7 linked regions of the Oryza sativa Japonica Group genome follow. The protein of the gene in region 5 binds, or shares a complex with, the protein of the main gene of each other region. Links are inferred from orthologs where the notes say so. Each region holds a gene or a part of one and is shown on either strand. Other genes may lie near its edges.

The links.
Region 1: mediator of RNA polymerase II transcription subunit 13 (region 5) and mediator of RNA polymerase II transcription subunit 32 share a complex: the UniProt entries of both Arabidopsis thaliana proteins name them as parts of the mediator complex. The link is inferred for Oryza sativa Japonica Group from reciprocal best matches to the Arabidopsis thaliana genes GCT and MED32.
Region 2: mediator of RNA polymerase II transcription subunit 13 (region 5) and mediator of RNA polymerase II transcription subunit 30 share a complex: the UniProt entries of both Arabidopsis thaliana proteins name them as parts of the mediator complex. The link is inferred for Oryza sativa Japonica Group from reciprocal best matches to the Arabidopsis thaliana genes GCT and AT5G63480.
Region 3: mediator of RNA polymerase II transcription subunit 13 (region 5) and mediator of RNA polymerase II transcription subunit 27 share a complex: the UniProt entries of both Arabidopsis thaliana proteins name them as parts of the mediator complex. The link is inferred for Oryza sativa Japonica Group from reciprocal best matches to the Arabidopsis thaliana genes GCT and AT3G09180.
Region 4: mediator of RNA polymerase II transcription subunit 13 (region 5) and mediator of RNA polymerase II transcription subunit 16 share a complex: the UniProt entries of both Arabidopsis thaliana proteins name them as parts of the mediator complex. The link is inferred for Oryza sativa Japonica Group from reciprocal best matches to the Arabidopsis thaliana genes GCT and SFR6.
Region 6: mediator of RNA polymerase II transcription subunit 13 (region 5) and mediator of RNA polymerase II transcription subunit 17 share a complex: the UniProt entries of both Arabidopsis thaliana proteins name them as parts of the mediator complex. The link is inferred for Oryza sativa Japonica Group from reciprocal best matches to the Arabidopsis thaliana genes GCT and AT5G20170.
Region 7: mediator of RNA polymerase II transcription subunit 13 (region 5) and mediator of RNA polymerase II transcription subunit 25 share a complex: the UniProt entries of both Arabidopsis thaliana proteins name them as parts of the mediator complex. The link is inferred for Oryza sativa Japonica Group from reciprocal best matches to the Arabidopsis thaliana genes GCT and PFT1.

The regions. Positions count from the first base shown.
Region 1 is NC_089044.1:22,150,708-22,153,889, reverse strand, and holds mediator of RNA polymerase II transcription subunit 32, read right to left. Parts: upstream 1,627-3,182; 5' UTR 1,537-1,626; coding exon 1,054-1,536; 3' UTR 901-1,053; downstream 1-900. Other genes in the region: U-box domain-containing protein 70-like, read left to right, coding at 2,616-2,778, 2,989-3,062. UniProt on the Arabidopsis thaliana protein: Component of the Mediator complex, a coactivator involved in the regulated transcription of nearly all RNA polymerase II-dependent genes.
Region 2 is NC_089038.1:19,469,098-19,473,863, reverse strand, and holds the start of mediator of RNA polymerase II transcription subunit 30, read left to right. Parts: upstream 1-1,750; 5' UTR 1,751-1,820; coding exon 1,821-2,237; intron 2,238-2,666; coding exon 2,667-2,744; intron 2,745-4,420; coding exon 4,421-4,519; 3' UTR 4,520-4,766. UniProt on the Arabidopsis thaliana protein: Component of the Mediator complex, a coactivator involved in the regulated transcription of nearly all RNA polymerase II-dependent genes.
Region 3 is NC_089035.1:8,936,046-8,940,986, forward strand, and holds the start of mediator of RNA polymerase II transcription subunit 27, read left to right. Parts: upstream 1-1,906; 5' UTR 1,907-1,931; coding exon 1,932-2,260; intron 2,261-4,033; coding exon 4,034-4,195; intron 4,196-4,941. Other genes in the region: pentatricopeptide repeat-containing protein At5g57250, mitochondrial, read right to left, coding at 1-1,714. UniProt on the Arabidopsis thaliana protein: Component of the Mediator complex, a coactivator involved in the regulated transcription of nearly all RNA polymerase II-dependent genes.
Region 4 is NC_089044.1:19,707,058-19,711,846, reverse strand, and holds the start of mediator of RNA polymerase II transcription subunit 16, read right to left. Parts: upstream 3,362-4,789; 5' UTR 3,104-3,361; coding exon 2,679-3,103; intron 1,993-2,678; coding exon 1,924-1,992; intron 1,742-1,923; coding exon 1,653-1,741; intron 1,483-1,652; coding exon 1,370-1,482; intron 1,186-1,369; coding exon 1,084-1,185; intron 633-1,083; coding exon 545-632; intron 447-544; coding exon 1-446. UniProt on the Arabidopsis thaliana protein: Component of the Mediator complex, a coactivator involved in the regulated transcription of nearly all RNA polymerase II-dependent genes.
Region 5 is NC_089039.1:22,053,633-22,057,723, forward strand, and holds the end of mediator of RNA polymerase II transcription subunit 13, read right to left. Parts: intron 4,074-4,091; coding exon 3,017-4,073; intron 2,934-3,016; coding exon 2,556-2,933; intron 2,028-2,555; coding exon 1,411-2,027; 3' UTR 1,022-1,410; downstream 1-1,021. UniProt on the Arabidopsis thaliana protein: Component of the Mediator complex, a coactivator involved in the regulated transcription of nearly all RNA polymerase II-dependent genes.
Region 6 is NC_089046.1:28,095,523-28,100,375, forward strand, and holds the start of mediator of RNA polymerase II transcription subunit 17, read left to right. Parts: upstream 1-1,703; 5' UTR 1,704-1,909; coding exon 1,910-1,998; intron 1,999-2,085; coding exon 2,086-2,284; intron 2,285-2,380; coding exon 2,381-2,494; intron 2,495-2,657; coding exon 2,658-2,743; intron 2,744-2,829; coding exon 2,830-3,208; intron 3,209-3,406; coding exon 3,407-3,868; intron 3,869-3,944; coding exon 3,945-4,265; intron 4,266-4,853. Other genes in the region: PWWP domain-containing protein 1, read left to right, coding at 1-120. UniProt on the Arabidopsis thaliana protein: Component of the Mediator complex, a coactivator involved in the regulated transcription of nearly all RNA polymerase II-dependent genes.
Region 7 is NC_089043.1:12,248,472-12,252,688, reverse strand, and holds part of mediator of RNA polymerase II transcription subunit 25, read right to left. Parts: intron 3,264-4,217; coding exon 3,054-3,263; intron 2,948-3,053; coding exon 2,882-2,947; intron 1,971-2,881; coding exon 1,763-1,970; intron 569-1,762; coding exon 513-568; intron 433-512; coding exon 1-432. UniProt on the Arabidopsis thaliana protein: Component of the Mediator complex, a coactivator involved in the regulated transcription of nearly all RNA polymerase II-dependent genes.

The sequences.
Region 1 (3,182 bases), on a different chromosome or scaffold from region 5:
CTATGAGGCTATGATGATGGATCAAATCCATCTCTGATACAGTCAGCTTCAGGTGTGTAGAGCTGCTCGTGTTTGGATCGTTGCGCCTTACAAAATCATGCATAAGGAAACACCATTTTCTCACAGATTGAGGTGAATTAATGCAGCAGCTTCAGTTGATCATTTCCAAAATTTCTTGTTATCTCCTTACATCTCTTCATATTCCATTTGAGGAAACTTTGCTGCTAATGCTTGTGATAGAGTATGAGTGCTCAGAGCAATTTTGGTATAGAGCAGTGAATTACTACTATGATATCGACAATAAAAGAAGAGCATATGCTACAAACATTGAATTGTTTGGCCAAAATTGGCAGCTAATTCTAAAGGCGCAAAAATGTACGATAGAGAATTATATGAGGAAACTAGTAGCTAATAACCAATATCACTTTCCAGTATAACTGGGTTTCACAAACCATGAGCAATCTCCCAGAGTTTATTATCACAAATTGTGCCTTTTGTGGCTGCTTAGTTATTCTTCAATAAAATGTTGTTCATTAAAAAATCAGAAGGAAAAGCATTCACATTGTGGCGGACGCAAGATTAGCAAAACATCCAGAGTAGGTACTTGAAAGTTGAAGGAACTTATACAGTTATATGCTAGTTGAGTAGTATATATGAAATTGTTCATTTTTTCCTGGGACCTCAGGTTTACTACCTTACCTTAGTACGATGCACGAACATTATGTGAGCGAGCTACAAATCAGAACTAAAACCTACTGGAAGGAAGTCCGTTACACAATTAGTCACTTAACAAAAGCAATAGGACAAAATTAAATCAGTTACTAAGCGTGATCTGGCCACGACACTAAGAAAACGGTTAATTTCTCCCAAATTTTAACATCAGTAGGCATAAAGTAACAATGCTGAGAAAATCACAAGCTCAATTTTTTTTAGAATATCGATCACAAGCTCTAATGCTTCAATTCTTAGACGATTACACAGAGATACCACCAGTAATTTGTTTTCTTTGGAAGAAAATACTACTAGTACAAGATAATTGAGCAAAATAAATACCTACTGGGCGCCGTCCTCGGGGAAGCGCGTGTCGACCCCGCCGTGGCCGTGCTGCCCCGCAACGCCGGAAGCCGCAGCCGCGGCGCCGCCCCCGCCGCCGGGACCCGCGGCGGAGGCACCTCCGGCGCCGTGCTGGAGCTCGATGACGAGCCAGCGGACGGCCTTGCTCATCTGCTCGAGGCGGACGGCGCTGATGGGCTTGATGCCGGGGGCGGCCAGCGCCGCGGAGGAGGAGGAGGAGGCGCCGGTGGCCTCGTCGACGAGGCACTCGGAACCGATTCGCTGGCGGATCGACTCGACGAGCTCCTCCGCGTGGTCGCAGGCGACGCGGAAGAGCTCCCACCGCTGCTTGAACGCCTCGAGCGCCGCGTCCGTGGCCGCGTTCTTCTCTCCCCCCGACTGCCCCCGCGCCTCCACCACCGCCGCCGCCGCCGCCACGAACTCCTGGTACGCCTCGCTCAGCTCGTCCACCGTCGCCTCCATCTCCCCTCGCCGCCGGCGGCTTCTCCCCGACACGCTCCACCGCCTCCGCCGCCTAGATTCCCCACCAACTTGACCTCTACTCGTCACAGTGTCAAACTCCCAAACCAGTAGCGTCAAAAAAAAAAAAATTCCTCGTGGGCCGCAGATTCGCGGCCCACTTTAAAATGGGCCGTCTCGTGCTGTATCTTCTTACTGGGCCGCACGTTAAAACTTGGGCTGGGACGCGAGGCGAGGGTTTTTCTCGAGGGATAAATATGGGCCTCGCCGCTCGCCGGAGCGGCGGTGGCTTCCCCCTCGCCGACGGCGAGGCGGGCGACCCCGGTGGGATCCTGTGAGCCGGCGACGGCTTCCCCCAACTCCCGCCTCGCCGCGCGCCGATGTTGCCGTCTCCCTGCGCGATTCCGCCGCCGCCGCGATGTATTTATTCGGTGTTCGCCATTTCTAGTCAATCGTCAAAGGTGATTTGACTGTACCACGATGATTTAATTTCATATGCAGTACTGGTGATGATGAGATGTTTGCTTGTTGTCAATTTTGTTCGCCTCAAATTTCATATGCTATTATTGCTGAATCGTCACTACCCGTAGGTTGTTTCTCCCGTTCATATGGAGTAACTGAAATATGAGGCCGAGATCTTTAGATTAGATCACCAGATAGACTGATGGCTCTATCACTGGCACACAATCGATGCACTACATCTTTTTTTTATTAGAAATGAAAGGCAGGGAATTTGTGGTGAGCAATGGGGGTGAAGGATGTGAGAAAGGTAGAGTCTTACATTAATTCATAACATGTCCCTGTTCCCAGCAAATTTTGCCGTGTTGTACTGGCATGGCATGACAGCGTACCAAATGACTTTCCTCAGATAATCCATTCACTGCGACTTGGTAGTTGAGTGTTGCGTTGTCTTCCGATAGTCTCAGTCAAGAGTCAACCTTTTTACCTGGTTAAACTGGAATCTTATTCTTTAATGCTAATACGCAGTGTGTTCCCTCTTTTAGTTGTCCAAAGTGGGAAACGCAAACTGGTAGATAGAAGTATCTCTTAGTTCCATCTTCAAGGCCTTACCAGTTGCATGCATGAGTATGATGCTCAGGCAGAAAACTCTGTTTAGAGACAAGGTTTATGTTGCTCTCCCTGAGCAACCCACCGATGGCAAGTCCATACTGTCTTGGGTTATCGATCATGCATCCAGTAGCACGGAGATCATCATCATCCACATAATTACTACATCGAACTTTGGTTAGTTATGTGCAGTGGCTTTATCTAAAGTTATTTTTCTCGATGTCAATAAAGGAGGTGATATAGTCATATAGCTATCTTATGATGTTTGTACCATAATCTTTAGCTTCTGGCTTTCTGCCATATTCTGGTTTATTTCCTCTAACCATTACTTCTTGTTTCTATTGTGTTTTCGGTTGCATAATCCTTAGCAAAGTTCTATTGTCTTAGTTGATTCCTTTTTTGCTGAAGAAAGCCGGATGCAAAATGTGGACAACTATCTGGACCAGTGCTCAAGAAAAAAGGTGCAAGATAATGATATTTTATTTTGTTTTCTGAAAAGTTCATGTAAAAAATATTTTTATTCACTCTCCCCACAAAGACTTCTATGAGTAAATAACTAATTATAGAACATAAGGAAAAAA
Region 2 (4,766 bases), on a different chromosome or scaffold from region 5:
ACAAGTTATTTATTTTACATCTTATAAGATAGTTACAGTGTAATTGCACTTCAAATTACATTAATTACGTTTTGAAAGTCTTCTATCTAAAACACTATCGAATGTTATATAGCTCTTTTCGAAAAAAAAAATCCAATTTGACTCCTTCAACCATAGGTTAACCTGATTTGTATCAATTAACCCAAAGTAGGATATATTGACCCCTCAACTATTAAAACTGTTATAAAACAACTTCCTCGAGTGTTTTGAGGACGATATTCGCTGGCGTGGCTTGTTGACCTGATCTAACCGACTGAATTAGCATGTGGGGCCTAGATGTCAGCGTCCCCTCCTCCCTCTTTTACTTTTATCTTCTTTCTTCCCTATCCTTTCCCTACATGGTGATGAGCTCTAGTTGGGAAGGCGGTCGGTAGAACAAGGGAAGACGATAGGGATGCCACTGAGCATCTGACGAAGGTGACTCTTCCCAATTCCCATTCCACCCCCTTCCTGGGATCAGGAGAGGACACCGACCACCGCTCTTCGGTACGGTGGAGCAAACGAAGTGTCGTCTAAGAGGTGGCTAGAGACGGGCGGGAGACGTTGGACTCCAGCAATCGAGGACACACATGTCGACATTTCCTATCTCTGGAGAAGCTTCATCAAGATCGAGCTCGCTTGCCTCATTGGATTTGCCTCGTTGCCCTCACCAAGAACGGTAGCGGAACAAGGTTGCCACGCCCACCAAGGATAGGGGGCATGTGCTCGCCATTGCCTACAGCTTGAGTCTGTCATTAAGGTCAACGACATGGACGACGTGCTCCAGCGAGCCATCGAGGATGACCTCCCCCTCGGTGGCAATGATGACTACAAGAGCTCGTCGACATCTACCCCTTGTCCTCCGACGGGTGGTGGCTATCCCTTGGCCATGCAGAGATATGCACGTGACCCTCCTCTCTCTCTCCCTCACTATTGCCATGTATGGCTCCACAACATATAAAGGAGAAGGACTCTTAGATCTCGATGACAGCGAGGTCAATCACCATCCTTGTCCATTGCTAGGCCTTATTAACCGAGGCGTTGATAGAGGTGAAGGTGGGAAAAGGACGTCGGATTAGAGGAGGCGACAGAGAGAAGGGGAAGTGGCTTGAGGCTCGGATCTGTGAAGGAGAAACACTGATGGGACCCGGCTTTGTCCAGATCAGTGAGGGGCCTCGGTGTGGCAACCGTTGGAGCCCACAATGAAGAGGACATCTACGGCAGCACTGGGCCTCTCCGACTCTCCATCACCGCTGTGGCCCTTCCCTCCTTTGCTCCACAAGGTTGCCAACAGAACCAAGCTTAGTTGGTTGTGTCGGTGGTGGCTTTGTCGTCTAAGTCACTGACACTATTCATGCTTGAGCTCGTCACCGCGTGGAGAAAGGAGAGGGAAGAAAAGAAAAAACAAAAGCATGAGGAGAAAGAGAAGGGGACGACATGTGGGTCCCACATGCTGACTTAATCGGTTAGACCAGTTCAATGAGCCACGTTAACGAAAACCACCCTCAAAATAACTAAAAAGAGTTTTTTTATTCACCGGTGTTAATAGCCGAGGGTTCGATATACACGGTTTGCGATTAAGGGAGAACGAATCAGATTGGACCTATAGTCGAGGGAGACAAATTGGACTTATTCCGCTCAAATACTAGGGCCCTGATAAGGCCAGGCCTGGGCTTCGAGCTTCGGCCCAAAATCAACATATCCTTTGGGCTTTTGGACTATGTTGGGCTCTGAAGCTAAGCTTAGTTCACTTCACAGCCAGCGCCGACGAGAGGAGGAGCAGATCGGCTAGGGTTCCGGCGATGGCCTCCTCGGCGGCGGCGCGGCGGCGGCAGGAGATGGCGGCGGAGGGGCAGCGCCACCTGGAGGAGACCATCGCCGCCGCGTTCCAGATCCTCTCCTCCATGAACGACGAGCTCTGCAACCCCACGCTCTGGTCCTCCTCCTCCGCCGCCGCCGCCGCGGCGGGCGGCGCCGGCGGACTCCAGCACCACGGCAACAACCACCACCACCACCACCAGCACCACCACCACCACGGCGGTCTCCCTCCGCCGCCGCCGCCGCTGCACTCCGCGGACTCCGACGCCGCCGACGCCGCCGGGGGAGGGCCCGGGGGCGCGCCGGGCTCCGGCGGGTCGCTCGACGAGGCCAGGCACCGGTACAAGGTCGCCATGGCGGCGCTCCGCACGTCCATCGCCGCCGTGTCGTCCTGTGCTCAGGTCAGCACACGAATTTACCCGACATTGCATGCTCCCGTAGTATGTATGCAACCACGAAATGCGTGTTTCTAGTGATCGTCTAGTGGAAATTGTGAAACGTATTGCACTCTTTGTTGATATCAAGTTAGGTGCTTATACATAGGTAAGGGAGCCAAATAATTTTTGCAAAAGAAAATTTCTTATTATTGATACCAATGTAAGGGAATGTAAGGGATGTTGTGATGTAGGTTCGGACTACATGGATGTGGACTATATATATGTTTCAATCAACATGAGCTTTTAGTGTTCAATGTTCATGAGACAAAAATAGTAGTTTTATATGATTCTATTTTTAGCAGTAAGTGTAATCCTGATGTGCAAAATATGGTGCTATGGAGAAACCTCATAACAGTTTACTTCTTTGTAATGATGTTGTGGTTTTCTTCGTAGGAGATGGGATCGACAGAACACAAAGCTGATCAAGCTGAGATTGAGAGATTGGAAGAACATGCATCTGCTTTGAGAAAGGTACTATCTTGGGAATGTTCTAGCAATATAATCAATATCATTTTGCTGTATTCAGAATTTTTCCCTGAACCAGTTGGTAACTGGTGCTTATTTAGCCATGTCAATCCCAAATATTTCCCAAACAACCTGTTTTGAACATAATGTGTGTGTGTGTGTGTGTGTGTATATATATATATATATATATATATATATATATATATATATATATATATATATATATATATATATATATATATATATATATATATATATATATATATATATATATATATATATATATATATATATATATATATATATATATATATGTTCCTTTTATGCTTCAATCATTTTAATTCAAAAAGTCCTGAGAAGAGTGTAATCCCCAATTTTTACCTGAAACCATTTTAGATAGCCAGGATCTAGTTTGGCAAGCTGTGATACTGTGTTGCTTGTAGTGTTTTGGATAGTCATGTTCATTCTGTTGAACTCGTCAAAAAAGCGTTCCATCTTGATCTTTCCTGGCAATATTCATGCTTGTTAAGTTGTTATCTTATCATTGTTTTTTCTGCACTGGATACTGCATGTCATTATTGTTTGCATACTTGGATTTGCCTGCTAGTTTAGAACTTACTCCCTCCGTCCCAAAATAAATAAACATAGTATGGAATGTGACACACCCTAATACTAGGAATCTGGATAGGGGTCTGTTACTAGGTTTGTTATTTTGGGACAGAGGGAGTAAGTTTTTGCAAATCCACCTTTGATGCTAATTGGATTCTGGACTATTTAGCAAATCCTTTTCATCCTTTGGAGGGCTGTTGGCTGTAATGGCCTTGTAAGTCTCAACTACTCCTTATCTATGCTAGATCATTATAGCATAAATACAGATTATTCTCCTTGATGTGTATAAATGTGTATAGAAAAATGGATTTGTGGCTTATTCAGTTCCATTTGTATGATTTATTGAGATCAGTGATTTTCATGTACTCCTATGTTTGAAGTGTAGCAAACCATAGTTATTAAGACCGGACCGGTGATCGAACTGTTAGGGTACTCGGTTCACTGGTTTATTGGTCGGACCAGTCAAACCGCCGGTTTAAAGCGGTTCAAATAGATGTGTGTTAGAATACTAGAACAACATGTGACATAGCCGGCTGAGACTCTCCGTGGAAGCAAGGAGGTCTTGGTTCGATCTTCAGTTCAGCAGGTTTTTTCCTATTTTCTCTAACTCCACGTGACACCCTCCAGCAGTCGAACCACCTTCGGTTTTTGTCTGGTTCTGCAGAAAACCGCCCGGTTCAATGGGTTTTTGCCGGTCTGTTTGCTCAACGATCTTTTAGCTGGACTGGACCAGCCAACGCCCTGGTTCCCTTTTTTTCTGATCGGACCACTGGTCTGGTCTAGTTCTAATAACTATGTAGCAAACAGTGTTCTCTAATGCCTCGATTACATAGTTTGTTCCTAAAAAGTTCAAAGCATTTCATTTTAAACATACACTGGTCAGTACAATCTCAATTAGCTGATCCCATGTGTCCTAGTTCAGATTTCTATATATGCCCGTGGTATCATGGTCTGTGGAAGTTTTGAGTCCTCACGCTTTTGACATATATAATACATTTTTTGTTTCAACCTAGTAATGTGGCATACTGTTCTCTGGTACCGTAAACCAGTCTAATACAGGATGTTTACTGCAGGAAATTGAAAGCAAAAACAAGCATGTAAAGCTCCTTATCGACCAACTCCATGATTTAATATCGGACATATCAATGTGGCAGAGTCCTTGCTCAGTGTGAAAACTCATCGGCATTTATCCTTTAGGAATCCAAAAATCATAGCTAGAAGTATGTTAATGCAAAATTGTATCAGCTGACCTTGAGAGAGAAATCTGAAGGGATACAATCAGTTTGCAAATACAATATTGTAATGATTTTTCTTTCAAGTATTCAGAAAGTGTACTATGAGTAGTGATAAACACGAAGTAGCTAGTAACTGAAACAAACATCTGGTGTATATTTTCCCACCAATTTGGCCTTGCTTTCA
Region 3 (4,941 bases), on a different chromosome or scaffold from region 5:
TGAAATTCAGCACGCCATGTTCACCGCCTTCTTTAAAGTGTGTATGGATCAACTTCTTGTAAGTACAGGAATCAGGCCTTAAATTTCTTTGGATAAGATCATTAAAAATCTGCTCAGCCATGTTTACCTTTCCTCCATTACACAATGCTATAATCAGGCAATTGTGTACTATTGTAGAGGAGAACAAGATGTCTTCTTTGTAATCATCAAACAACTGCAGTGCCCTGTCAGTTTCTCCAAGTTTACACATCATGTCAATAACTGTATGATATGTGACAATATTAGGCCTTAATCTCATCTCGGGCATTCTAAGAAACAAGCTGCAGGCATCATCCACCTTCTTAATCATAAATAATGCTTTGATAAGTACATTGCATGTGACAACATCAATTGTAACACCGCTGCTCTCAAGCCTACCTTTTATTGCCATTACACCAGTTGCATCTTCTACCTTAATGTGACCATGTAACAGCGTGCTATATGTGAAGTTATCAGCAGCAATACCTTCATATATTTCAACAGCCTTCTTGGTGTGACCAACCTTACATAGACCATTTATTACTGAATTGTATGTTACGATTCCAATCTTTATCCCCTTTTTATCCATCTCTTCAAGCAAAGAGAAAGCCCTATCCAAATATCCCTTTTTGCACAAATTGTCAATCAAAATTGAGTAAACATATTCATCCACCACCACTCCTGTCTGTTCCAGTTTCCTCACTATAGAAAAAGCATCATCCAACCTGTTTCTCTTGCAGAAACCACCAATCAATGATGTATAAGTGATCAAATTCGGCTTAGCATCCCTTCGGTTCATCTCATCCAAGAATCCCATCACTTTTTCCACACTACGTTCTCTGCAAAGTCCATCAATAACAGTAGTATAACTAACTACATCAGCTGCAATGCCCTTATCTAACATCACCCGATGCTCACGGAGCCCTTTCATCAATAACCCGCTACTCATGTATCCATGAACCAAGCTGCCATATAAAACAGCATCACCAACCAACCCCTTCCCTTCCATCTCCCTTACCAATTGTGCTGCCTCAGTAGTTCTCCCTACACGGCCAAGCACATCGACAAAAGCGGTTAATGTGATCAAGCCTGGCTCAAATCCATTGAACTCTCTCCTCACCCTCCTATAGAATTCCAGCCCATCCCCAGCCTTCCCGACCTTGGAGAAGCCTGAAATGATCACGCTGCAAACACGATCATCCACCTGACACCCCGCTGCAGCCATTACGTCGAACACCTTGAGCGCGGTCTCCATGTCACCGCGGGCACACAGCATCGTCAGGGCCACACGATACGTGGACGGAGAAAACACGAGCCCGCACTCCTCTACGCCGGCGGAGAGCACCTCCAGCGCGCGGCGAGCATCGCCGCGCACCGCGCAGGCCCGGCGGAGCAGCGCGTCCCAGAGGCGGCGCGCGGAGGAGGTTGCCGGGCCGGCGAGCGCGAGGCGCGCTGCCGCGTCGCGCGGACGGGAAGAATCTAGAAGCGCCGAGGCGACCAGGAGGTGGGTGCGCGCGGTGGGGCGCACGGAGTTGGCGACCGCCTGCGAGGCGAGCGCGCCGACGAGGCGGTGCCTCCGCCGGCGGAGGAGCGCCGCCAGTAGGATGTCCACGCGGCGCGGCGTGACGGCCCTTCCGAGCTTGACCAGCGACGGGAGCGGCGGTGGTGGTCGGGGCTCGCCGCCGGCGAGCGGCATGGCGGAGGGTGGTGGTGGTGGCGCCGCCGCCGCGTGGGAAGCGAAGCGCAAACGTTCGAAACGTTGGAAGCCGATGGCGTGGGCCGAATTTGGATACGAGCTTGTTTGGATCTGGGCCTGAATAGATATGGGCTTGTATTGGTTCTGGGCCTGTTTGGATATGGGCTTATTTAGGTGAGGCGTTTCGAGTCGGAAGCGAGAAGGGGAGAAGAGGAAGATGCAGCAAGCGCAGGCGTCGGCGGTGGTGGCCGCGCCGGTGGCGGCGGCGGCGGCGGCGGCGGCGGGGGCGACGGGGCACCAGCACGAGGGGGCGAGGGGTGACGCGCCGCCGAAGCAGGTGGCGCAGGCGATGGAGCGGCTGGGGCGGGCGGGGCGGCTCATCGCGGACATCCGGCTGGGCGCGGACCGTCTGCTCGAGGCGCTCTTCGTCGCCGGCGACGCGCCCCCGCACAGCGCCCCGCAGCACGTTGAGAAGACCGCGCTCGCCGTCGCCCAGGAGGAGGCCGCCATGCACCGCCACTTCGACGACCTCCGCGCGCTCGGGAGGTAAACCCATCTCCGCCCCGTGCCCCCACACTCTCCGATTCAGAAGTTTTTCATCGATTCCTTAACCTTTGACTGTTACGTCGCAAAATACAACTAATTCCCTCCGAGAAGAACCATTCCCGTCATGATTCCACGGTTGCAGTCTCAAAATGAAAAAGGAACATTCCCGTCATGATACCACGGTTGCAGTCTCAAAATGAAAAAGAAATATTCCCGTCATGATACCACGGTTGCAGTCTCAAGAAGAAAAAGGAAAACCCTTGTCTAGATAATTTCTGGAAATTGGTGGCTGGGATATTGATTTAACTTCTTTGGATTGTATGATTGGACTTTTTTTAAAGTAATAATCTCCTTCCCAGTTTAGGCATGGCAGCACATTTTTTTTCCACTAAATTGTTCTGTAATAATGGTTAATCACCATAAACTGATGCCACACTCTTCTTTGGTGTTATCCAATTGCTTGTATCTTGTGAAACCCTTCTACCTATGAAACCTTGCTACGAGAGATGCACGGACAGGCTTAACTGCTCAACTTTGGTATATGAACTTTAGCATTCTAGAATATTGGCTGGGTGCCTGGGTCTATCAGATTGGGATGCATTTCTGGAACTCGTGTTCCTTGGCTTGTAATAGAGCAATATTTAACCTTAATTGAACAGCTTCAGCTTGAACTTGTTTTGGGGCTGTTTGGATCAGGGACTAAAATTTTAGTCCCGGTCACATCAGATGTTTAACACTAATTAGAAGTATTAAACGTAGATTAATGAAAAAATCCATTTCATAACCTTGAATTAATTCGCGAGACAAATCTATTGAGCCTAATTAATCCATGATTAGCCTATGTGATGCTACAGTACACATGTGCTAATTATGGATTAATTAGGTTTAAAAAAATTGTCTCGCGAATTAGCTCTCATTTATGCAATTAATTTTATTATTAGTCTACGTTAAATACTTCTAATTAGTATCCAAACATGCGATGTGACAGGGACTAAAATTTAGTCCCTGGATCCAAACACCACCTTAGTGCCACTCAGGGCTCGAACTAGTTTTAGTATCACTCGTGGATGGTAAGGATGTAGGGTAGGTGCTCACTCTATAATATTGTCTCAGCAGAGCAGTTATGTGTTGGGTACAATTGTTTACATGTGACCACTTGACCAGTCGTTTGTTGAAGAAGTCTGCAGGCATTTGGAAAATCCATGTTTCATGGCAACATGGTACTATTCTGTCTGATGAATAAAATGTCCAAGCAATATGAACTGCTTGTTAAACGATGGTTTTTGAGTCTTTCTGCAACCTGAAGTTGCTAGATAAACGGAAGATGAAATTTGCAGGTGATATAGTTATGATTTTAGACAGAATAGTTAGTTTGTGAAAATCCTGAAGTTAGGAGTACTAGATAAGCTTAAGCCATGTGACTGAGATTTTTTTAAGTCAAAGGATATTAGGAGCCATCTTCAATAAAGTTAGGTATGTGAACAGGATGGATTCACTCGATTTTGCTGGTGCTTTCTTATTGTTCTTTCACAGTATTCTTGTTATAGTGTTTGGGTTAGTTGTGCTTGTTGCTATTCATGATGTTTTTACTTTGTGATGAACCATCAATCATTGCTTACACAGTTCTCCTGGTAAGTTCCAATTATTTTTATTGAACTTCAAGTTTCAAGTTCCACTATTTCTTCATAAGTGTTGGCCTAGCCAACTGAAAGTAAAGATCTAGTTTTTAAACTGTAGCCTAATAAATATCTTGTATCCATTGCTGTTAGGAAGGCAATTGGAAGAGTCTGGAGTTCTAAATGGAGCCCTTAAAGCCAGAGGCAATTCATGGGGCTTGCACATGCCACTTGTTTGTCCAGATGGTGCAGTTGTGGCATATGCTTGGAAGCGTCAGCTGGCTGGTCAGGCTGGTGCATCAGCTGTTGACAGAACTAGGTAATTTCATTACCATCATTGTTGTGTTGTATGTTTGCTGCCACAATATGATGTGCTTATTTGTCTTATTTATATTCTGTTGATGTGTGAGATTTCATCAACCGTGCATTGCAGAATGCAGATTAAATATTTATACCATGTTATTTCTTCCTGCGATATACGATAATTTTCTTGGCCGATAAATTTGTACTGTTGTTTCCCTCTTTCCCCTTTAAATTTGTACTGTTGTTTCCCTCTTTCCCCTTTTTCCCTTATTTCTCCTTTTTCCCTCTTTTGTTTCTTCTTTTGCACTTTGCTTTCTCTAATCCTTCTACTATGATAATTACATTCTTCCAAGGTGTGGAGTGCTTTTGTAGGAATTGAAGTATTAGATCAGTTCTTGTTTTCGTTGCATCCATATTTTATTTTGATTTTACACAGAATGCATCGGAAATATTCCAACGCCCTTCATTCATGTGCTTCTTTAGATGTATGTACTTATGTTGAAGGCTTCAAGCCTTCGGATCATCCCCTAGTCCCCATGACAAGATACCCGAAGTTTATTACTATTTACAAAAATGGGTTACTATACTAAACTTAACAGCTATCAGCCACATGCGATTGTACCTAGTGGCCTGGCCTCACCTTTTTTAAATTTAAAATTTAAAATGTATGCCGCTGCTTAATGCACAAATTATTTGGCTTGTGAACAGGCAAGGACATATGGAATTTTTATTATCCATTTATCATGTGTTTATAATGTTCAG
Region 4 (4,789 bases), on a different chromosome or scaffold from region 5:
CGATGCTACCTCAGTGGTCTCATTATCTACCTGTGCCTGTTTTTTTGTCTGTGCGCCCTCGGAAACAAGGTAGTCTTGCAAAGAGAAGAGGTAAGATGCAAGTGGAGCAAAACCAGCCCAGAGTGGGGGATTTAGTGATGGAGGAAGAGAGCTTGTTGCATTTATCTTTGCAGTTGCCTGAATACCATTGCCAAGGCCTGGCATCACCTCCCAAACCACTACAGTAGATGGATTAACAAGGGGAACACCAGCAACATGTAATGCTCCAGTTTCAGTAATAATAGCATCAGCAGCCATTATGCCGCTTGGCCCTGCTCCTAAAAGCCCTTTGCTAGTAGAAAACCATCTAGGTTGTGCTGAGTTTTGAGAAGGCCATTGTGACCAATGAAGCTGAACAGAACCCGATGAAAAAACTGAACAGACACATAGAATGTTTGGCCACCCAGCTGCAGTAAACAGCAATATGTCAGAGTAGCGTAAAGAAGCATGCTTGCTTTCTCCTCCAAAAAAAATATATGCTCAGTAATATATGTGTTTAACCAACCCGAACTTTGAGGCTGCTGGGTAAGGAACTTTTCCTCAAAGGTTTTCAAGTTTGATGAAGTACTAGAGTTTGCAGGAAGCCATCTATACTGCAAAGTCAAAGAAACAAAACAAATTTAGCCGTGGCAACAGCTTAGTAATTATATTCCTTCGATTCTAAGATCCACTTATTTCAGGCCAAAAGGGTAATCAAACACAGGTAGTGTCATTTGAAATAGATCAAAGTACTTACTCAGACATAAACTGAGCCAGAATCTTTTTTACCTAATTGTTGCAATTGTTTATGATAAATGTCCAGTGAAAAAATCTTAGAACAGTTTAAACTCAAGTCTATTGTCACTGCTTTATAAAATATTATATTTTAAAAAAATAATGATTAACAATTGACACTGAAAAGTATATAAATCTCGAATGTTAAATTGTGAAGCGGACTGTATAAACTGCTGGGTCAATCGTATTGCATATTTGCATTCCAAGTGTAAAGTGCTAATTATCAAAAACAAGAGAAGCAGACTGTAAGTTTGCAAATTGGCAACAAACCGGAGAAATTCCTGACAACCACTTAGTCACCACCGAAAGATCTTGACGCCATTCGTGTTCACATTGCCAGGAACTGGCATCACGTACAAGATTAGTAGGACCCTTCACCATATCAAGAAAGAAACAAGTATTAGAGAAAAAACACAAAACAGCATGATATGTATATAGACTTGAAATGAAAAAAGAAAATCCTGAGTGTTTCGCAAATTAACAAAGTAAGTTCAATGGTACTACTAACAAAAAAAAATGATATGCATACCGAAATTTGCTTAAGGTAGAGATGTACCTTAGTTGGCTGTGTCCATATAGTAATCCTTCCATGAAAATTTGCCACCAGTAATGCACGAGGGCATGATCGAGGAGACCATTCAATGAATTGAACAAAGTCGCGTGGAGAATCTGTTCAAAATTACAGTGAGTTAGGATTGGAGGTAGAAAAACTCGTATATAAACAAAAGTGAGTTTGAATCTCACCCTTCACCTGACTATAAAATGCCCAATGGACAGTGATTTGCACATGCATAACGTAATCACATTACCAAAACAATTGAGATTTAGCCATGGATTACCTGCTTTCACATTGAAAACAGAACATTCTGTTGGTCTCTCTGGATTTAGAATGTGTATGGGAATCCAAAATGGTGGGCTTGAATTAGAGCTGAAAATATACATTAGATCGTTTTACGGCAAAGAAACCTTCATAACCAGAAACTGTAAGCAAACAATTCTACCAAATGGTTGAATATCCCACTAAGACAAGCTAACAGAACAAACTTATTTATGGATAACTAAAGGTCAGAGGAAAGTAAATTTTCAGGGAAAGGATGGAAAAATGTATACCTTGGTATGCGTGCACAAGTCTCTGATGCGCATGCAATTGCATTGAGCTTCCCGCACCAAGCAACTGCACTGCAATAAAAAAAAAACCATAGATAAGATAGTTACTAGTTGTTCCCGATATAGTGTAGGCTAAAGCAGACAAGGCAACCTCATCCTACAAGATCAAAGCAGTTTTAAACAAAAAAAAATAATGTGGATTTTAAAAATGGAGTTATCACGTTCGGTATTTTCTAACTGGTGAACAAAGTAACCAGTTTGACCTGACTAAACTTAGTTATGTGAAATAATGACACTACATGTTATAACTGTATTTGATCTAGTATAGTAGAAGCCTGCACAGGATACAATCATTCAAAGCAATCACAATTCCATGCCCACGCTAATGCTTCTGCAAGTTTGAGTCACTAGATTGTTCATCCCAATCATTGAAACGCCACCCAAATTTGAAGAGGAAAAAAAAAGTAAACCCAGATCGTTTGATTTAGATTATTGAGTGGATTATTGTCATGGATATATTATAGGGATAAATTAGATATTTTGAGAGACAAACTTAACAAATAGCTTAAAACAAGTGGTCTAAGCAATACAGTAGAGGAAAATTTCTTTCGGGGGGAAAAAAACCATTTCAATAAATCGATGAATAAGCTGAAACAGATCAGGGTTTAAATTCATCACACCTAAGCTTCCCCCAACATATTTAAATCCCAGAAAGAAAAAACACCCCCAAAAAAACCACAACTAATCTCGAAACGCACCTGAAGTTCCTGCAGAGCTCGGGCACGCGCATCTTGTGGCGGAGGCTCGAGGGCGGCTGCTTGAGCCGGATCCGGAACACGGTCGCCGGCGACGCCTGCTGCCCACCTCCACCTCCACCTCCTCCTCCCCCCGCACCACCACCACCCCCACCCCCCTCCACATCCCCAACCCCCCCACCACCACCTCCCGCGCCACCATCCACCTCCATGGCCTCGCCTCCCCCTACGCCCACCTCCTCCACTCCACCCCCATCCCCCACTCCTCCTCCACCCCCCTGGCCCTCCTGCTGCTGATCCTTGGGCGGCGGCGTCGGCGAGGAGACGGGCACGGCTCCGGCGGCGGCGGCGGCGGCGTTGGCGGTGGGGGGAGAGGGGGTGGGGGTGGGGACGAGGGGGCTAGGGTTTGGGGCGGAGGAAGAGGTCATAAGGGGCGGAGGAGACAAAAAGGCGAAGGGGAGGGAAGCGCGCGCGAGGGGGGGAGGGGGAGGCTTAGGTCACTGGAAGCGACCGCCCGTTGCTGTCGCGGGGGGAGGGTTTCCTCCCCTCCTCGCTTTGCTGCTGCCTCCTGCGTGTGCGCTGCGGCGGCGTCGCTTTCAGGTTGGGTGGGGAATGGGATGCGGCCGTGGAAAGGGGAGACGACGACGACGAACGACGATGACGATGACGACGACGGGGAGAGAGTCAGAGGGAGGGGGGGAGGGGAAACGAGTGGGTTTGGTCTTTTGGTGGCGTTTCGGGAGTGGTGAGCTCTGGGTATGTACGAATTCCGTTGAATTTTGGATCGAAATTGCTAGAAAACTTTTGCAAGTTCCGTGGAGTTTAGTTCCAAACTTTTTTAAAAAAATTTTTAACTTTCCATCGCATCAAAACTTTCCTACACATACAAACTTCTAACTTTTCTGTCACATCGTTTCAATTTCAACCAAACTTCTAATTTTAGCGTGAACTAAACACACCCTTTTTCTCTCAAAACTTTCAGATTTATGGTCATCGGGTTACTGGAGATTTGTACATTCAAGAGATAACATTGCTACAAAAATATCATACATGTTATGTGCAAGATCTCGGTGCTAGTCAGCCAAACCACGGTTAAATACATGTTTTATATAAGTTATACCGTAGTTACAATACAGTTACAGTACAACTATACTTCAATTATAATATAATTTAATCTCGAAGTTTTACACTTAAAAAATCTACGGCAGTTTTTTACACACTCCAATATTACTCTTGTATAGTACCTAGATGTACTAACTTGTAACGAAATAAAGAGTGTTGTCTGTCTATTTAAAATTGGATACACGAATTTCATTGAAATTGGCATGGAGGCGGGTAATCTTGGTGTTGTGGTCTTGCGGTGGATTGTAACTTGTAAGAAAATGGGGATAGTCGTCTATTTATTTGAAACTGGGTACATAAATTTCGTTAAATTTGGCACCAAGGCAGATAAAATGAGTGAATGTATGCCTTTTTGGGAATTTGAATGAATCTTTCGTCAGATTTATAGTTTGACAATTTCAGTTAAAATTTATCTCCCTCGGTTACAAATTTCATCAATTGTTTATGTATCGAATCTTTAATTAAATTGTATTATTCCATCATTTTACTTTAAATGATATCTCTCTAGGCCACAACTTTCATTACATCATTGTCTCGATTTTTATGTACATATAGAAATTGTAGTGTGCTAGCACATATATGTACATAAAAATTGAGATTATGAACTTGGAGCTAGAAACTTGAAACTTAACCCTTTCAGATTATCATCAGCCGACTAATCACAAGCGTCTTATAAGAATCTTTATAAGAATCTCTAGCTCTCTATTTAGGTTATTATCATTGTTGTCGTGATCGTCGATAGCCCATCCTAACTACGCATGTTTTCTTTGTTTATACAATATAAATATGTTTTTTTTCCAATAGATGCAGCAGAGTCATGACCTATGAAATTGATGATACGGCACGGTAAGATTTTATTCGCAACAAATAAGTCGATAAAACAACAAGCCCATCTTAAAAATAAATCCAAAGAAACCCAACCCAAAAGAAGGGAAGGTCAGGCGATGGGCCCAAACACGAGCCAAACAGGCCCATGAGCCCTTGTACGGCCC
Region 5 (4,091 bases):
CTGCGAAAATCTATTTTTCTCGATAGTCGGATGTCCGTCTGAAAAAATATCATATTTTTGCATGCCTTCAGTTGCAATCAGCGTGTTTGATCGCCTGCATAGAGTCATTTTGGCTGCCTGGGAAAATGTTTTTGGTAATGTATGCCGGCCGCTGCTACATCAAAGCTCGCGCCGAAATACATACATAGCTCGCTATAGGTTAGGTCACATCGTCACGTATACGCCGTCCTGATCATCGCAGCCGTCCAAACGGTTCATCTGTCGAACGAACAGATCATATATAGAAGAGTTTGCTGTACAGGTATCATAGGCAGCTTGCCTGGGTGCCCCCGTGCCGCTTTTGGACGCTCCCTTCTTGGTGCATTAGCCGGGATCATGGTGTCACATGGGGGATTAATACTCGACGGGTTCTTAATTGCTCCCTCAGGTTATTTTAAACGGCGCAGGCTCCAATTCCAAAGTGAAGGTACTTTCCCCGGGATTTTACATTGGAAGAGCCATACATGATTTTACATTTTGTACCCAGCTTGAGACCATCTTCCAGGTATGAAAACCCTCGCGATGATCTCTTCAGCCTCGCATGGGACATTGCCATACCATGTGGAGCAATACTGCTGTCGGTTCTTCTGTTCTTTCAGCAGCGGCTTGGAGGCGATTTCTTCCTTTGTTCGAAGAAATTATAGTAGGTTCAGCCAGAGGTGTCCTGTTTTTCTTTGCATTTGTATGTATACGTGGCATCGTGTCCGTGTGTATGCTGCTTCCATTAAATCGGGGGGAAAAAAGGTTGGTCCAAACTAAGCCCTATCCCAGCTCTAGCGTAAGCGTAAGCTTCTTGCTTACTCCCTCTGATTCTAAAATCTAAATAGCCACTTTAAATTTATGCATGAGGACTAATAAAGTAATATTGCAAACAATTTTGTTATCTTTCATTTATACTATACTGCAAAAGATGGTTCACAATCACAAATAGCATTCATTTGAGAAAAATAAGTGCTCTAATAACTTACATTTTAGAAAAAGGTTGAGAAGCATAAGACAACTTACAATTAGATATGGAGGGTTTAAATACAGCGTCATCGATCTGTACCAATTGATTTTCTTGGAACCAATGGTTAAGCCAACCCATCAATAACAAATACCACCAAATTATAAACCAGTTAGCTCTACAATATTACAACTTGGTCCTGGCCCTGGGAGAGGTGTCGATGCGCACGTAATTACATCCTCAGCCCAAGAAATTAGCATTCTCTTCAATCCACTAACAAGGCAAAATCGGGCTAGAGAGCTCGTCAATGTGACCCTCATCTACCTGCCTAATATACATACAGACAACGGTTTCAGCATCATCTAAGCCCTTATTTTTCCTGTGGTGAAAGCTACATGAGAATTAGTTGTCCTCTCTAGTAGTCTCTAAGCTACATCTCCTTTCTCTGTCGATTGGGAGAGATGCCGATCAGCGTAATGCAGAAGTCTCCTCAAGCGAAGGACCATATCACAGTGGGACGGCAGGGCGCTTCGTCTCTCCATGTACACCGGGCTCACTGTCATCCATGAAAGGGAGTGGAGCTCGGCAGCCACTGCTTCCAACACGTTGTGCATCTCCGTCTCATGATCACGACCTGCTGCTTCCTGAGTAAAGTTCCTCGTCTGCTTGCCAGAACCTCGGCTCATCTTCTCTTGAACAGCAGCAATGCTGCCTCCATAGTGATCAATGATGCTAACCGAGAGGACGGAGGGTCTGTCCTCATTGGCAAGGCGTGCGGAGTCCTTTCTTACCGGTGGGACGGCTTTGGAGACTACATAGCCCATTGCTAGGGGAATCGCTGTCCCTTTGCTGTGCAGTAAGTGTGCAAGAGGTGGAGACTCTGATGTAAGGCATGTTGGAAGCTGTAATGTTGCTGGCGAAAGGTATCGCATGCTTGGTGAGGGAACTAGGAGATATGATGCTGACATTGACCCAATAGACTTCACTGGAGTAAACCCTTCCAAGTAACTAGAAGGACCACTGCTTGTTTGATTCCCTTCACCTGTAAAAAAGAGCATTTTAACCGAACATGAAAGGGATTGATAGGAAACAAAACTCAAAAAATAGCTGCTAATTTGATTCAGGTTGTTTTTGCTCATATATGTGTTTTTAGTAGGATGAACCAAAAGAAAAGGTACTACCCCAGTTTCTCTTTTGTTTCATGTTTTGGACATCGACACAGTCTCCAATTTACATATGTTATCATTGCTTTCTAATATATATTTATATAACTTATAAAAAATATAACCATATGAAAGTTTTTCATGAGAAATCTACTAATATCATTTTCACATATCAATTCTTAACATTTTTAATCTATTGATGATTTAAGAGTTCAAGGTTTCACGGTATGCATTCTAGGACGTCATTCTCTTGAGAACGGAGGTAGCACTATGATCATAAGTCATAGATGATAAGGTCATGACGTAAGTAACTACTACTGTTGTAAGAAGCAGCATTAAATAAGCACTACATTAAACAGCCACAAACTTGTAGATGAATATATAAGGATGTTACAAGCACTACTTACCAGGAGTAGGTCTGGTCAACAGATCCGCTTGGCATGTGAGATGCAGCGAATGATCTTGGGAAATTGCAACCAAACTGATGCTGCGAACCAAATGCAATGAACCCTTTGAACTGTCCATTCCAGCTTGTTCCACTAGGATCTGCTTTTTGTTGCCTGATTGCCCAAGTGCACCTTTCATGAAGCTAGATTTTGCATGAGGGCTGTACAAAGGGCTAGGTGAGGATGGCATATTTCTGTCTTGCATTAAGCCCATATCTTGTTGCTGGAGTGCTGGCCCATTAGAATTAGATGGAATACCCTCAGGTATAGATCGGCGTAATTGCACAGGCCACTTCTTGACTTCATTACCACCAAATGAGTAAATTGCTTTTTGCCATTCTGCATAAAAAAATATATACCATAATGACACGATATAGTCAAGAAATAAAAACTACAGAATTTATGGTAGAAGTGTTAAGTACCCTGGATTTCAAGTTCAAGGAAACCTCCAATACGGGTTATTATTACATCTCTCGGTCTTGTATTGCTAGACTCAGGTGCAGATGACATTATTTGGCAACCGTGCTGCAGAATTTGGATGAAAAGGCTTTGGAGAACTTTCGTGTCTTGGCGACTACTAATACCACCAAAAGGAAATATTAAACTGTCCAACAACTCTCCCTTAGAATCTGTCCAGATACATACTAACCATCGCCAGTCCTCAGTCCAGCCATAACAGCAATGAAGACTTGCAGCATTGTCGTTATCAGATCCTTCCAGTAAAGCACTTGCACTTGCTCCACTATCAGAGCCACCACCTGAAATTGAGCTGTAAATTCCACTGCCACTAGCATCAACACCAGATTTTGAAGATTCCATTCCACTACTGTAATCGACAGATCCAGGCTCTGCTAGTATGAAAAGTGGCTCAAAGGCATACTTCCTGTCATCTTGAACACATACATCTGGGATCTTATTTGGGTCCATGAATCCTCCAGCACGACCAGGCCATGAGTTGTCCCATGTTACTGATGACCTCATGGATGCATCAAACTCTGTTTCTCTAGAGAGAGTTGATCCAGACATTCGAGGAACTAAACATTCTTTCCAAAGGGTAGGACCAGGAGATGTAGCATGCATCATGGTGGACTGAGACCTGCCCATGTACGCAGGTGACTGAAACATGTCACTTGTGCTAATGGCCTTTGGAATTCGGCGAGCCTTGTTGTACACAGTGAATGCCATGTCCTTCAAAACAGCAAGCTCATTGTTTGGCTTATGGAGTCTCAATAAAGTTTCAACAGTAACAATCTGCAAGACAAGCTTAGGTATACTGAAACCAGAGAGCATCACAACATTAGATGCTGATGATTCATCAACAGAAGCATTGCAGTTTAGGGCTTTGGCAACCTGAGAATATAGGAATGATTTCCTTTCTCTCTCTGGGGATAACATTACCGACCCAAGAGCAACAGAACATTCTACCAGTGTCTCTAGGACAGCAGAAGGTTCGGGAAATGGACAGACTACATAAATTACCTGCATGGATAATAAGTG
Region 6 (4,853 bases), on a different chromosome or scaffold from region 5:
ACTCCATCAGATGGATCAAAGCAAATGCCAGAAAACCTTCTTGGGGAAATGCAGGGGCTTTTGGCAAAAGTTGACAAGATGCTCACCGGGCCTTCTGCTACTGCTAGTAATCCTCATTAGCCCCCTACCGCATGGATTATTCTAATCCATCCGTAGTTAGATGTCTTATTGTCTATGCTGTTTGTCGCTGTCATCAATTATAGCTGCCAATCTCGAGCTAATGATAAATTAGATGTTTTGACGATTTCGGCAGCAACGATTGAAACTATTGTGAATGGTAGTCCGTAGCCGTTATTATGTCACTGCTCTCATGCTGCGTGTGTGATATATTAAGACTGCAACTTCTTTCTTCTAGCCCTCTCGCAGCAGCATGAAAAATCATGTTTTCCCCCCAATAGTGAGTATGATGCGTTTATAATAAGGGGTAATAATATACAAAGCTGTTGGGGTTGACATCACATGGCACTGGGCCACTGGTAGTAGTAGAATTTACCATGCAAAAAACTGGCATAGGCATGATGATTGCATATGTTGATCTGGGAGGAGTGGATGTGATACAATGACAGTGATATCCAATAAAATGTAAGCTGTGTATCGCTAATGATTTTTCTAAAGAGATGCTGGTATTGATTAGTAGCAATACAATAACACAGCAGCTCAGTAGTTGTGAACAACAGGCCTGTGAAGTGTGAAATTGATGCTTATTTTAGTCTTTCTGAGTATGTCATAAATCAATGAAGCAAGGGAATGGAGAAGAAATGGAGTATATATGGTTATAGCGCTGCATCTGTTGATACTATTATCAAGGCAAATCTATATGCTACCTTTGAAAAAGAGAAAACAAACAAATCGCCAAATTTGTTGTATTTGGCGCATTTCTCTCAAACTTATGGTGTTACGGTGTTACCTGCAAGAATTATGATACGAATTGTTTGCGGTGCTTTTCTTTTTCATGAATAGGGGTCGGAGTTTTATTCTCCGAACCCCCTTGGTCGTCCAGGTTTTGCCAACTCGATCCGGTGGACAGTGGTTTGTCCTCATTGTTTCTTCAGGTTGTGATTGATTGCTGTGAGTTTTGAGCGGATGGTGGCATTGATTGTAAGCTAGTATGACAATCTCATCTGCAACTTGTTTCTGTGATTGGCAATGCTCTGGCACATCGATCCGCGCAAGTAGAAATTCAGTCACTCACTGTATAGTTGGTTTGCAGAGAGATTATCTGAATTTACTTGCTTGCTCAACTTCAAAAGGCCTGGAATTCAGAAGCTGGACTGAAGAATCGACATACTACTACTTATTTTGTGAAATATCCGTCGTCCCTGATACGTTGCAGATTGATCACAACTTGCGGTTGAGTTTGGAATATCATTGCCACCGGCACCAAAGAGAGTTTTGTTCCCTGAAACTTGTGATCCATGGACGAACAACAGAAGAACAGGCCTTGTTGTCTTGTAGGCATTGATAAGAAAAAGCTCTCTGATATAAGCCTTCGTTTTACCATTGCTAGGAGATAATTCCTGCTCCCGAGGGGCCTTGAGAAATGGAAAATAAAAAAAGAAACTCCGGCCCATTCGGAGTAGTGGAAGTCTGGAACTGGTCCAGGCCAGCCCAGCAACATTTACTTGTTAGGCCGGCCCAAAGTCAAAAAAGGCCCATCATACTCTCTTCCAGAGAAGAAACTCCAAAGTCCAGCACCCAAACTCGATCGAGAATTCGCTCCTCCTCACTCCGCCGCCCGACGACCTCGCCGGCGGCCGCCCCCACCCCGCCGGCCGCCGCTTCTGCTTCCCGCGGGGGGATCCCTTCCGCTCTTGAGCGGGACTCGTGAGCCCCAAGGCAGTGCCTCCTTCACTCAAAAAATTGTCTCCGATCTAATTAAGCCCTCCGCCGCCGCTGCCTCGCCTTCGCCATGGAGGAAGCCGTGCGGGTGGACCTCGACAAGCTCCCCATCAAGCGCCTCCACGCCATCGACGAGGCCGGCAACGAGCACTACCCGCCGTAAGCACCAAACCAAACCAACCTCTTCCCTTCCCCTGAAACCCTAACCCCCACCTCTCTCCGTTCACTGAGATTCGGATTCCGCAGCGACACCAGCAGCGAGGAGCAGCGCCTCTCCGCCATCCGCCGCATCGACTTCTCCTGGGTCATCGACAAGGACGCCAAGAAGCCCAAGAAGGACACCGCCCAGCAGCAGCAGCAGCAGGCATGGCCGTGGCAGGGCATGATGGAGAGCCTGCAGCAGGCGCAGCAGGAGCTCTCCGTCGTCATTGACCTCATCTCCACTGTCAGTTTTCCCACACACAATACTGCAAACCCCATTCTATTTGCATGCGATTGTTTGTATTCCTGACAGAGGAGACAATCCTACTTGATAATGCAGGTCGAAGCCAATGATGCAGTGGCAGTCGCTGGGATGCTCAAGCCCAAATCGCTGCCAACCGAAACCTTAGTTGACACCGCAGTCTCTGCAGCCACCAAGCTTCAGCGCGTTCGGGTATGTCACCCTACTGCCTATGTTTGATTACTTCAATTCACGGCTAAGGAACAAAATGGAACCTAAAACAAACTCAATTTGTTTCTGTAATCGCTTGCCACTTTCCTCTTCCGTCTTGCATCTATCATGCTTCCTGTTGTGATCTTCATTTGTGTCCTCGCAGCATTTGTCACGCTACTTCAAACAATCTGCCAAAACAATGGAGCAGCAGTTCCAAAAAGAGTCTAGGTTCTATGGCTCATTAATCAGGCATGTCTTGTTGCTTAACTTGAGTTGTTATTTCAATACCACTTCACCCAAGTTTGCACCATGAATTACTCGCGGATTGGTGGCAGATTGCAGCAGAACTGGAAAGTGAAGCGGCAACGGTTTGGTGGAAGTGGTCCAGGAAGTGAGGGCTTCATGTTTGATCTGATCGACACTTCTCAATTGGACACAGCAGCAATGCCTCGACTGTCATCATTACCATTGATTCCAATTGACCAAGACTCATCAGGCACTTTGTCCGTACAAGTCCCTCAAAAATCTTGCCGTTTCTTGAGTCTTAATTTTCGAGGGGACAGTGCCAATGGTGTGGAAAACTACGGTCATAAACTGAAAGATGGCATCTCAAGCATCACTTCCTCTGAAACAGACAATGATGATGTCAATAAATCCATCAAACATGCACATTCTATTCTTCGCAACATCCACAAGTCAATATTTGAGGAGCAGGTCAGCTAAGTGTTTGCTTGGCATGCTAAGAATTCCTGTATAGAATGCTCTTAATTAAGTTTTAACTATAGCATCATGGAAAATTATTGTATATCATGTGATGACATCTTGCACCACCACCACCCCTCCCTCCCCGGGTTTATCATTATTTATTTATGTATATCGTTCTGTGGCTTAGCTTAGTGTATGCCTTTGTAGGTATTTGATATGGTGATCCGTGAGACATTTGTCCAATCTCAAGGCATCAATGTGACTGGAATGCGTGAAGATTTTCTCCAATTAGCTATTGGTCAGGAATGTTCATTGTGCCTCTCGCTTGCTCATTCTGGAGATGGTAGTGACTCAGAAATGGTAGACCATGAAGACCATGCCAATTCAGAGGATGCCTCAAATCTTGTGTTGGTCACTATGAATGGGAAGCTGGACCCTTTAAGAAAAGACGTGACAGGGTTTCCTAATCCCAGAAGTCTGGAAATTTACTTGCTACAATTGTTTCATGAGAACATTCTTAGGAAGGTCAGGGAGAAATCCCTTAACATTGGTCGCTACCAAAGTCCTGCTCAGGTTGCAGGTGATGATTATGGCCTGCTAGGTCATTTCTGCTTGACAGTGGCTCACAGGATATTTTCTAACAAAGTACTCGTGGAGCTTGAGAGTGTGGTATAGCTCCTATAAGCTTGTTGATGCTACATATTTGCATGTAGATCATTATTTAAATTTCCTTTCTGTATTGCAGGTCAGCAGGGTTCCATATCTCCATTTGCGTTCTCTTCCTACTTGGCATTCTCGAACTTCCTCCTGGTCTCTATGCTTGAAAGTTCCTCAGCCTATCCTTGCTGCAGATCGGATTGCAAAGCCTTCTGATAACCATGAACTTAAGTACAAATCCAGGTCACAGTTCAATACTAAGGTGATCGTGAAAGATAGCCAAATTAGTCTAATGGGTGAAGGCTCCCCAAGCATTGCTGGATCATTGACTGGGAAGCCCTCCGATGGATATTTGGTAAATAGCTACAATTGTGACTTGGAGGACCTCCCAACAATGCTTCTGCAGCAGGTAAACTTCTGATGATACTATTTAAATTATTTCTTGGTAGATCATGTTTATGAAATTATTAAAGTTATTACCATTGGAATTCATTATGGTCCATTGATAATGCAATGAGCCAGACTATTTCTTGCATTGCAAATGTGTAACATAAACTCCTTGCATTTGAATGTGAAATGCACAATGGTAATGCATTTTTCTTAGTTTTTTTCCCTGAGGAAATCTTCATTTGTGCCTATTGACCTACAGGATTAGTTTGCTTAACAGTTCAAAATGAATGTGGCATGCATGTTGAGTTGAACAGGACACCAGTACAAACATTCTAGTGCCTTGCCATGCTTCCACATTTTTTTAGGTTAATATTGTCCCACATAAGAGGTCTGGAAGGCAGTGGCCATTCATGTAATATAAAACTGAAAGCACTGAATACAGTGCGAGAAAGGGAGCAAGATGTTTATGCTTTGATAGACCTGTCATTGTTCAACTTTGGTTGTCTTGATGGGCTATTTAATTTAATCCAAGTGGATCATCATAAGGATTTGTTTCCAAGTAATACTGTGCTGCCCATGAATATTACCCATGTCACAACAATTGCTT
Region 7 (4,217 bases), on a different chromosome or scaffold from region 5:
CCCTGATATACCGATATTGCTTTGGATGCCACCCAAAGAAGATGACACAGCAATATTTGAATTGCCTGTTATGGGTGTGTTTGATCCAAAAGCAGTGTTTTGTACGACTTGTTGACTACCAATTGACTGTCCTGTTCCAGACATAGGGATGCCAGGCATTCCACCTGATATAATGGTTGCCACTGACCGATGCTGTGATAGATTGTTGAGGATGCTGACATTTGCTGGACCACCAGGTCGAATTGACTGTTGGATAGGGTTTATTAAAGGCTTATGTTCTTGCACACTATCATTTGCAAGATTAGTTTCCTGTGAAATAAGGGACGGTGAGGGACTTTGTACTGATGATAATCCTTGTGAAACACCATTTGCAACAGGTGTTACATGCGAGAAAGCAGGTGCAGAAACCATGGGCGGTAAAGTTGTTGGCTCCTGAAAGTGATGATTGTTTTCACAATGAGAAAACATACAGCAAAATGGTAAGTCACAGAGTATGTTGTTCAAAGCTTTACCGTTTTAATATTTGCAACAACACCATTTGGTTGGCGGGTAAGCATAGGTCCATTAACTGAAAAATACTTATAACAGTTAGTCATGTTCAGTATGGAAGATAGTAATGATACGGATATAACCAGAAGCCAAAAACAAATTTCTATATAAGGCAATTCCAGATTTATCACAACTGGATCATGCAAATAAAACCAGCAATTGGCTAGACTTGAAATATGTTCCACTTTAATTAGGTAGATGGGCAATCTGGCATATATTAGTACATAGCAATGTACAATACAAACAATAAGAATTTGGCATTTCATAACATTAAACTGTAAAATTTTATTTATGAAACAAACAATGAAGGGGCTTCATCAACACTCACAAAAACAACAAATTATGTATATCCACGAATACCTTTAAAACCACATTGCTGTGTATAAAAACAGGAATTGCGATATATTTGTATCCTCAGTGTTAATTTTGATTAAGATGCTGAAAAACAAAACTTGTTATCCATATAGAATTCATCAATCCGAAGACACCATGCCATTGAAAGCATTATCACTCAGAGTCCAAACAATTAGTTGTGACCCCATGCCAATGATAACCATGAAGACACAATCATTATAGAATAATCTATGTTTTCTTGGCACTACAATTGAAAAACCACCCAGATGGGAAGGGGACAAATAGAACACAATGGTACAAGCTTTTAGGAGGCAGGTTTTCACGTTTGTGTATTCAGTACATCCATTTTTCTTCATCTCCAGCTCAAGGCATCTGTACTTGACAAATTGGAGATAAACTATAGGAAATTATATTGTAGTCCCATGTAATGTCAGATGCACAAGCACATCGTGTTCATAATAGAGGAGAGCTCACAATACATTTTATTCCTCTAAGGCTTTGAAAACTCAATGATATGCTTTTTTCGGGCCAAAAATGGATGGCATAAGGGCATTGCCAGAATCCTTCCTGCTATTAAAATAGTCAGGCGTACCAATATATGCAACGATAATTGTTAACCTATGTTGCTTCAGCCCATGGAGTAATTATGGCAATGGTTTATTTCACTTTAGCCTAACATTTTTTTCCTTAACAAAGCTGTGTCAAGCATTTGTTAAAGCAGACTCACGCTAGACTATGTGTAAGCACCTACATATTCACAAACATCGTAACAACGTCACAACCTTTCGTCCAAAAGAGGAACAGAACTAAAGGCTAAATACCATGGCAAGACTAAGCCAAATGTTAGCATTTGTTCAACCTGAGGGGTTGCCATTTGAAGTTGGTACTGGCACAGATGTTGCAGCTGTATCCATTTTTGTAATGGGGTGATTTGTGACCAAGTTGCCAGGTAAAGGGCGACTTAGAGCAGTTCGAGCCTCCAAAAAATTGTCAGACAACAAAACAAGAAAATGTGGATTTTTTGCATGATCCACTGATGGGTCAGCCGCTCGAGGATTCCTCTTTGCCTGCAACAAAACATGGACAACATCAGCACCTGGTGCAAATTATTCATCAGTACAAACTGTCGAAGGTCTTGCAGAAGATAAAATTTATATCATGTAAGTTAAAAAATGCTTGTATTAAACTAATGATAGATAAGGATGCCAATTCATAGATTTATAGTCTGTAAACCATACAAAGACTAGCTAGCAAGTTCAGGCAGGATACTAACTAATTAAAAAAATGAAATAAATGGATATTTTTCTTATCCACAAATAAGATACAATGACAGTACAATCCAAACTGAGTTCATTTTTATTTGAGTAAATTTCACTTAACCTTTAGGTGTTGTGGTCTAAGTTGCACAAAACCACATGGGTTTTGGCACGTGACACTTAACCACCAGGTATTATAGCTATAAAGTTTCACACAACCACACTATTGATCATTTATAAAATCACATCACAAATTTATGAGTTTTTTATCCATCATATAAATGTTACATGAATGTAACTAAAACTTTTAAAACTTTGATATAGGAGTATGTAAAATTGGTTAACGGTGTGGTCTTGTTAAACCTTAGGGCCATAATACATGGGGTTATGTGTCATGTGCCAAAATCCCTGTGGTTTTGTGCAACTTGGACCATAATAGGTGGTGTTTGATAAAATTTACTCTTTTTATTTCAATGGTAATGAAAATATGAAGTTTAGTACTGTGTACAAGTACAAGAACATATGTAATAGTGGAGCGGCCAGTTCTGCAAGTTCATGCTTATAATTTATTTTAAAAGATATATTCTTAAGTGAGTTTTTCAACCCTCTGTAAATCAAGATGCAACTATCATACCATCAATGAACAAGTAAAATACCAGGAGAAGATTATTAAAGATGGCTTGTGGCTTACAGAATTTAGCAAAACAAAATAACGAAATTACCGCATTGTATATTGCTTTCAGAGTTGGAAGCTGTTTAGGAGATACCACCGACAATGAAACGGAGCACTACATCAATATAAGTAAAATTAATTAGAACCAACAATGACTGCTGACCACTTCATTGAAACACAGGTAATCAGCAATATGCTAGATATCAGTATTTGTGTAGGACCTGAGCAAATGATTTTGCAACAGTCTCAGCATCAGCAAGACAAGATTCTTTTGCTCCATCATTGTTCTCCTTGTGATCGCTACTTTGAACAAGGGGGCGGTAGACAGGCGTAGGCAGTGGATAAGGATTACTTGCTGCAACAAGTATGCAATGTTTTTGTACTTCATGGCTTTGATGATTCTGACTGTTACTAGAACTGCCTTGGAGTATCTAGTTGCACACAGGAAATAAAATCATAAAGGCAATAAATACTTTAATTCATAGAGAACTCAAGAAATAAAATGATATCAAATTCAAAGACCCAAGTATTTTTCAACTAGTTATAGGCTCATGCTGTCATGCATTGCAATGGTTTTTTTTATTAAGTTTAGTGGGAGGATTTGGGCCCAGTGAGCTGTTCGGTGTTTATACAATGGTTGGCTTTATTAGTAAACAGTTTTTTTTAGGGTGGACAGTTTTTATGGAGGAAAGAGGCTTTTATGTGGAGGTGGAGGAGGACGATTCCCTCTTTATAATAGTAGGGATGAAGACTGAAATTTTGATTTTTGAAGACTCAGTACCATAGGAAAATTAACATACTAATATAGGTACATTCATAGAATTTAAACTTCTGATCATACTAGTTTCACTCTGCTTATTCTGGGTACTGGCCCAGACATCCAGTTTCCTAATAGGGTTGATCTAATGAAAATCTTCCTTACAAAAATTAACCTAATGAAATGGTGATTACAGTTATACACTCTATTTACTAAGGTAAGGCTATCTGTAGCTGATATCCAGATCAAGACATTTTTTATGAGACAATAGCTGATAAGTGGATGTGCAAACCACCTTAGAATTTTCTCACATGAATCATATGTTGTGCAGAAGGGCATTAAAGGACAGATTCTAGAGAATACTGGAAATAACAATACCAAGACAACAAGCTATAATTCTTGGAAAATAAAGTAATCCAAAAGGTTGGGTAGAACATGTATTGTTAAGTATCATGGTTCTACATAATGTCCAGGCTCAACTAATAGTTTACAGGGCTTACTATGAGAAACAAAATTGTAGATCAACTAATTTAGACAAAACTGGACCCAAATTCAGGTGCAGTGAGAGATGAAAAGAGGTATTTCCCTTCATCTAGGAAATCAAAATATCTCTGTTAATAAGATACCA